Arabidopsis thaliana: one gene and its partner. The protein of the gene in region 2 interacts with the protein of the main gene of each other region in a pairwise test. Each region holds a gene or a part of one and is shown on either strand. Other genes may lie near its edges.

Evidence for each region. Proteins that work in one complex are often made in the same cells at the same time.
Region 1: the proteins of SWEET9 (region 2) and DHAR1 interact in a protein complementation assay, tested with the Arabidopsis thaliana proteins (one large-scale study listed by BioGRID).

Annotation. Positions count from the first base shown.
Region 1 is NC_003070.9:6,772,748-6,776,354, reverse strand, and holds DHAR1 (dehydroascorbate reductase), read left to right. Parts: upstream 1-1,831; 5' UTR 1,832-1,941; coding exon 1,942-1,999; intron 2,000-2,123; coding exon 2,124-2,214; intron 2,215-2,400; coding exon 2,401-2,893; 3' UTR 2,894-3,053; downstream 3,054-3,607. Other genes in the region: GAMMA CA1 (gamma carbonic anhydrase 1), read right to left, coding at 1-112, 215-340, 906-1,049, 1,304-1,418; AT1G19565 (uncharacterized protein), read left to right, coding at 3,224-3,276, 3,385-3,476. UniProt on the Arabidopsis thaliana protein: Displays a dual function. As a soluble protein, exhibits glutathione-dependent thiol transferase and dehydroascorbate (DHA) reductase activities. Key component of the ascorbate recycling system.
Region 2 is NC_003071.7:16,305,943-16,310,307, forward strand, and holds SWEET9 (Nodulin MtN3 family protein), read right to left. Parts: upstream 2,421-4,365; 5' UTR 2,265-2,420; coding exon 2,219-2,264; intron 1,990-2,218; coding exon 1,953-1,989; intron 1,879-1,952; coding exon 1,668-1,878; intron 1,537-1,667; coding exon 1,375-1,536; intron 1,288-1,374; coding exon 1,168-1,287; intron 1,077-1,167; coding exon 876-1,076; 3' UTR 549-875; downstream 1-548. Other genes in the region: EMB2799 (NAD(P)-binding Rossmann-fold superfamily protein), read right to left, coding at 4,039-4,148, 4,230-4,294. UniProt on the Arabidopsis thaliana protein: Mediates both low-affinity uptake and efflux of sugar across the plasma membrane. Nectary-specific sugar transporter required for nectar production by mediating the secretion of sucrose from the nectary parenchyma to the extracellular space.

The sequences.
Region 1 (3,607 bases), on a different chromosome or scaffold from region 2:
CCAGCAGCAACCATCCCATGCTTTTCAACAACGACCCCATCAAGAAGTGTCGCACCCATCCCAATAAAGGTCTCATCCTCAACAGTACATCCATGTAAAACAGCACTATGACCTGTTACACATTTAATTTAAGACTATATCCCAAATGCTTCTTGGAGATGTATGCATATTAAACATTTTCAAAATAAACAGTGAGTAAGAGATTCCCACTAACCAATGGTTACATTGTCTCCAATTATGGTTGGGTGCACCTTCCCGCTTAAGTTTGATTTTGCCACATGCACAAGTGAGTTGTCCTGAATATTAGTTCCTGACCCAACACTTACGGTGTTCACATCGCCTGCGCAGAAAAAAAGAGAGAAAGCAAGTTTAGATTGTATGTTATCCCAGTTTCCTGGTAAAGTACTAACAGGCTTAGCCATACAGTACCAATGTGTTATGACATGAAAGCATTCTGTAAAAAGGACAACCCTATTTCATCACCATTAAATAAAAATCCAGACTAGCCAACTCATACTCGCAATAAGGATTCAACTCAAACTCAATAATCTGTATATGATATCGTTCAACTAATTCTGGTGTTATGACATGAAAGCATTCTGTATATGATTGGGGATATCATATACCCAATCACCCATTAGAGCAACTGCCAGTATCATCAAGATACGATATGTAGTAATGATCTGTTTAAGATCCTTCAATAAAGCTAGAAAGCTCCATTTTGAGTAGTAGTCTTGTTCATCGCTTAACCAGAAGAGTAAAAAACAGATATTCGTTCACTATTTTCTATCGTAAGAGTTGACACAGCTAAGGATACAGAAGTAGATACTATTTCAAACAAAACTTCAGTCACTAAAATAGTCAACCACCAAACACCAAACATTGAGGCTTAGTAGCTAGCTCACCTCGTAATACGCATCCATACCAAATGGACGATCCTCTTCCAATGTGAACGTCCCCAATAACTGAGGCGCTTGGTGCCACAAAAGCTTCCTTGTCCACAATCGGAGCCTTATCAAATACATTCATCAGTGTCCGATGCCTTGACACTACACAGAGAAAACCACAATTACATATAAGCAAATTTCGTGACCAGGAAACAAAAAAAAAACTAAGCAGCAAAACACATTCCACATCAATTAATCCCTTGTGCCATTCGAATCCAGAATCGCTATACCTACAAAGACATCAATTCCAGATCTCTAACCTAACCAGAATAGGTGAGCTGAATTACCCAATCGAAACTCCTCACTCTTTACGAATTCGAAATCGGAGTGAAAAATAGAGTTACGCAGAATCTTACGTTGTTCTCGGAAGTAATTTTTGCCTTGAAGGCGACAACCGAGGCGATCAAGAGCTTGACCAGTCTCACGGATCCAAAAACCGACCGAGTAAAATGCTCTGCCTAGGGTTCCCATTGATCGTCACTTTCTTCGAGCTCACAGGTAAACGAGGACTCAACACTGAATGAAGAAGACGAAAATGGTCGAAGCTGAAGAAGAGACGGAAGAAAAAAAATCAGCGAAAATGGATTTCAACAGGAACATTCCGGGACGGCGAAACAATAAATTACAGTTACAGTGGTTTAATATGGTTTAATCGAACCAAAACAATACGAAATATGAACCAAATCTAATTCGATATTTCAGGTAGTAGTTTCATTAAACCGATTATATTATTCGGTACGAATTTATTACTATATTTTCACTAAATTGAACGGTCCAAAACCTGCCGACCAAAAATCAAATGGCCCTATCAGTAACAATGTCGTTTCGTATCGTCGTCACTTGCAACGCATAACACGTGAGAAAAGATAAACATCGGGTAAAAATGGCCCACTGGTGGGTGGAGAATGGTAATAATTCAGTTTAAAAGCTAAGCCTTCTCACTGATTAACTCAATCATTCATCCGTCTCTGCAAACAAAGGAAGAAGAATCAAGATGGCTCTGGAAATCTGTGTGAAAGCTGCTGTTGGTGCTCCTGATCATCTCGGCGACTGTAACCATCTTCTCTTTCTCTCTCTGTTTTTGTTTTGCATTAAGCTTTTGATTTTGCAATTCTTAATTTCTGAGCTTTGATCGTTGGTAAATTTACTAATTTAAGTGTTTGTTTGTCGTTTTAGGTCCGTTCAGCCAACGGGCTCTTCTCACACTCGAGGAGAAGAGTCTTACCTACAAAATCCATCTGATTAACCTCTCTGACAAACCCCAGTGGTCAGTTTCTCTCACGCCTAAACCCTTAAGATCGGTCTAGTTTGAACTTGTTTAGCCATAATCTCTGAAATTTTACTTGTAACTGGTACGAGCTTTGTGTTAACCGGAAATTGGATTGGCTTCATGTGCGAGCATTGTGTTAACCGGAACTTGAAATTGGTGGCTTTGGTTTTATATATGATGCAGGTTCTTGGACATTAGTCCTCAAGGGAAAGTACCAGTGCTTAAGATCGACGACAAGTGGGTGACTGATTCCGACGTCATCGTTGGTATACTCGAGGAGAAGTATCCTGATCCACCACTCAAGACTCCTGCTGAATTTGCCTCTGTTGGATCCAACATTTTTGGTACTTTTGGGACATTCTTGAAGAGCAAAGACTCCAATGACGGATCTGAACATGCCTTGCTTGTTGAGCTAGAAGCTTTGGAAAACCATCTTAAGAGTCACGATGGCCCTTTTATCGCCGGAGAAAGAGTTTCCGCAGTGGATCTAAGCTTAGCACCAAAGCTTTACCACCTTCAAGTTGCTCTTGGCCATTTCAAAAGCTGGTCTGTCCCTGAGAGCTTTCCCCATGTCCATAACTACATGAAGACTCTGTTCTCGCTCGACTCTTTTGAGAAAACTAAGACCGAGGAAAAGTATGTGATCTCTGGATGGGCTCCCAAGGTTAACCCTTGAAACTATGCACCGTTATGAGATCGTTGGTGTGGTAATGTTGTTCAAGGTCTCTCTCTTATATCAGTCAAATAATGTACTTGGACCTTTTTATGTAATGTACTGTATCAATCAAATAAGAAGCCTATTTTGAAATAAGATTTGCCTCCATATCGAAACTCGGATAAACACTGGCTACACGTAACATAAGGGACAAGGGTTTTTTCAGACAAATTATTTAAGAAACTCATCGACAGTACTTGTGTACTTGACCTCAGGATAAAGCTCAGAAGTCTTAACTCCAAAAGAAGGATCTATAGTCAAGGAGGTAAAGTCGCTCTTCGCAAGGACCGTATGGATCAAACCCACAAAAAAATCCATTGGAGGCTGGGTCTCTGCAAATGCAAGTGACTCGTTTAATACTTTGGAGTTTGGACTGATGAATATTGGATATCAGAAACTGTTTTTATGGTTTAACTGATCACCTTTGATGGTTTTGAGGAGTTCTTCCTCAGAAACATAAGTCTTGTCGAGACTCGAGAGTCTTACCGATCTTTACATCCCACAAATCAACCATATCGTTCTGCGATACAATGTTCTTGGGCGGGTGAATGTAGGGTTGGGTGAGATTTTCCAAGAATGTTCCTGGGAGAAGGCAGTTATAGTCGCACCGTCAGCAGTCGTAAGGTAATCGGATTTTATTGTGGATGACCAGCGATTTTCATGATTTGCATCAAA
Region 2 (4,365 bases):
TACGTCAGTTTCTTGGGAAATGGTAAATGAAAAATCTGGCCCTATCACTACCAAGTCTACTCCCATAAAAAAAAACGACACAACCATTAGCTAACGTAGAAATGACATTCAATTTCTTGGGAGCTCAATAATGGAATCATAAAGCAGAACCAATCAGCTTGTTTTTCTGTGGCTGCGGAAAAGCGAGGTCCTTGCTGCATGAGTCAGACTCTCACGGCACAATCATGCAGGATACCAACACGTCTCAACTCTCAACGCAACCATTTATGACACATTCAGTCTTTTTTTTGTGCCGACATCAAAACTTGGTTATGGTAAAGATTTGTTGTTGTTAGAGCCTTAGAGCAAATTAGTGCCGACCAAAATAAAAAGTGGGAGAAATTAGTAAAAAGATGAATAAAATAGATCACATAAATGGGATAGGATTATAGAAGAATAATGTGATTATATCCAACAATGTATTAAAGAAAACTTATAATTCAACTTTTTCAAGCAAAATTAGTTATAATATTTTTTTCCTGTGGTTCCACTATAAATAAATAAATAAATAATGAAAATTCATCTAAATATTTTATTCCATCTGTTGATTGTACAACCATTTGGATTAGATTGATTATTTTTTTCAGTTCCAACTGTTAAAGCATTTTAACTGATAGTTCCATGGAGCTTAGCTTAGGTACGCATCGACATAGACTTAAATACCGTAGACTAGATTATCTTTTATCAAGGGTTGGTGATGATCAAAAGTCAAAACAATATAACATTGGTTTTGGTTAGACCGACTCAAACCGACAAAACATAGAAATTAAAGTTTATTATTCCAACATACGATAACATGTCGTCTCCCATACATCTTCCCCATGCATGTTTGCCCTTCACTTCATTGGCCTCACCGATCCTTCAACATTGTCTGATCCCACATCAGGCAATTCAACGGCCACGATCGGGACTTCGTTAACATCGGTTTTATTTGCTAGTTGGTTCTCTGTTGGCAAATCCGTTTTCGTGGAACCTTGATACATCATGTATAGTATCATCTGAGCTACACCGAATAGAAAACCGAGAATGTTTGGCATCTGAATACAAAGCGACATAGAGAGACTTATTAGTAACCAAAAACTAGTTAGAATATTGAAAGATGAATGTGAAAATGTCAATTAATATTACAGCAATGAACTTGTCTTTGATAAGAAGTCCATAAAAGAACCACATGACGGCGTTAAGAGTGAGAGACAAGGAGAGAAGAAACGGCATGTATTCCACACTCTTTGTCTTTATAACCTTCCTCTGCAACATTACACATTGTATATTAATTTCCAATTCACTACAAAAAACGGCAGATGTTTGAAGAAAAGCTGATAGATGGATCATCACCATGACGCTTAAGGGAGAAGCAAAGACTGCGAGACTGTAGGCAGCACAAACCCATCCAACGGTCGAGACGCGGTGTTGTTTTGGAACCAAAAGATTAACTAGAAGAATTAAGAGACCAAGTCCACCGATGTTGCATATCACTATCAACTTCAACGTGGATATCTGCCAAGTGTACCACCAGATTAATTAGTTGTAGATATAGAGTTTCATCACAATCAAGATTTTTGAAACTAGAGGTGTACATACTAAAAATATCAACCATACTATAAATAGAAATATATAATTATAGGAACCTTGGCCTCTCTTGGTGCATAAAGGATATAGAGAAACAAGTAGGAGATTTCAATGAAACATCCAAAGGTGTTAATACTAATGATCAGATAAGCATGTGTCTTCATGATTCCGTAGTAGAGAAGAAGAGTTGCACTTGCTAGTGCACATATGTACGGTATCGACTGAAACCCTTTTGATGATTTCTTCTTGTATATCCCATAAAACGTTGGCCTAAAATATGTATAATTAATCAAATACTTTATATAAACTATTTTAATATATAGCATTTCGAGTTAGAAACTTACACTGGTGACAAGAACACCCCAAAAGACACAATGTTGCCTGAAAACAAAAGCCAGAATCAATATTAGTGTTATGAACTTCTTTATTTTGGGTATAAATGTTAAGTAATATAAAGAACATGTATTCTGTTGTTCAAAAAATAAAAAATAAAAAATAAAGAACATGTATACTCTGTTGGAAATATATGATACGTCACTTTTATTGTTGATTTTATTTACATATTCTGACCATAACTCAAAAGCATAAAAGAATAAGGGAAATAAATTACCTAAGAGACCAAAGAGAAAAGCAATTTCATGAACCTTGAGGAACATCTTCACTTTTCTCTCTTTCTCTTGCTAGTTGACTGCTTTGAATTATAGTTTCTTCATGCAAACCTCCATTTTATATTGGTCTTGGAGAAAAAGTGAGTCATTCTTATAAACCCTTAAACCAAAAAAAAAGTGAGTCATTCTTGCATTTTCATTTTTGTCCCCTATTTAATTTTCTTTCTTTCTCTTTTTAAACAAAAAAACAAAAGTTTGGTTCAAGTTTTCCTGGATTTTATTTTTTTCTGCACAATATAATGTGATCACTCAGTAGCAAATAGTATAACTTTTGCATAGCTGATTGGCTGTAAATTGCTGGTGACTTCTGACTTCTTAGTTTGCCAACCAGCAAATTCTTTAGTTTCTCGTTTTATTAAACCAATTTTAATGCAAATTTAATACTTGTTCTGATCGAGGAAACCATAACTTCGAATTTCTTTCTTGTTTTTTTTTTTGTTTTTTTTTTTGTCTTAAGCGATGAGTTCCTTTCATTTAAAATCAATATCGATATTAAGAATACGGGATGTATGGTCGGTGGTTAATTTTAGGCCTGAAAATATGGAGCTGTGATTTTTGACAATTTGCGATGGAGTATCTACTGATGTCAATGATGTTAATTTGCAATGTCGTCTCCAAGTTACTCATGATTTTGTAAATATAACATGTGGAGACATTTTGTTGCATAATGTGAGATATTTTTAGGATGAGATCAATTGTCTCAAGCTTTGGTGATTTTCTTAGACATATACATATCATTTTCATTTCTTCACAAGTTTTATCGGAAAACAAAGCTAATTAGTAATTACTCCTCATCTCTCTATGAAGGCCCAAAATGCAATGCAAAAAGTGTCAACTCTGTGTGAACCCTAAAACTTGCGGAGCAGTTTAGAAATTTAGTGACATTTAACTTAAATAAATAATCAGGTGGTTGGAACGTCTTGCATTAGGTGTTGTTCCTAATTGTTAGGCCTTCTAAATCCGACAAAGTATTTTTGCATTAGGCTACAAATTTCTTAAAGTCGAATTAATCACTTCAGACATATCATACGCCTAGCAACCCTCTGAATCTGGTTCAATGTTTGTATATAGCCAAATTAATATAAGATTTTTTTATATATAGATAAAACATCACCCATCAGTGATGGGCCATCACCCTAATTATAAGACATTGTGTAACTTATAACAACCTTCCATAACTGGTGTTAAGAAACCAAATGTGATAACTGATAAGATTATTTGCTTGCACATATCACCAATGAGATGATTTGTGAACATGTTAATGAATTAAGTATTTTTATTAATAAAGGTATAATGAAACCTTCATATCAAATTATGTGGGTGAGATGGAGGCATGGATGTGTTTGTTAGGCTCATACCTGAGGCCTCGTATGTTTGGCCTATTTCTTTGTTAGAATCTTAATTTGGTAATGAACAAGACACAAGCTTTTACATCTTGACAGAAACCTTTAAAATCCATCTAATTAGATGATTTATAAGATGCTTTATTATTATGATCTAACCACGTTTATATATTTTATTCAAACTGATTAAGTTTGCGTTGATTATTTACTTCTCAACCCATTTGCTAACTGTATTAAGTAAATTAACAAAATATGATTTATATATATGAACCATGGAGCTTTATGAAGAATTCTGAAAATTTCAGCTGTTTGATCACTCAAGAGGATACATGAGTTTGTTTGTACCAAACATAAATAATGCTTCACATTATTGGATTCTTCAGCGCTAGAGACATTCTTAATCAATCCAAGTAAAAATATTATGTCGATACTCCAAAAAATTGGGCAAAGCTTGGATACTTCGGCTCCCATCCTATCTCCGCTCGTGTCTTAGAGTTGTTCAGCTTCTTCCCTAAAGGACCACTGGTGCCTACAAAAGCCAAAGTTGTCAGACTCCATGAAGCTTAAGGTTTTTCAAGACAACTACATGTCAATGTCTGAAGAAACTCACTTGTAAAACCTTTGAACTTCTTATCAAATTTTCCGCTTTGAGCCATCAGGTCCATCACCTCTTGCCTGAGAAGAGTGAGGGGTCAAACATTTGATGTCTCATCAAAAGTTAGAAAGTAATCTCAAAGTTAGAACGA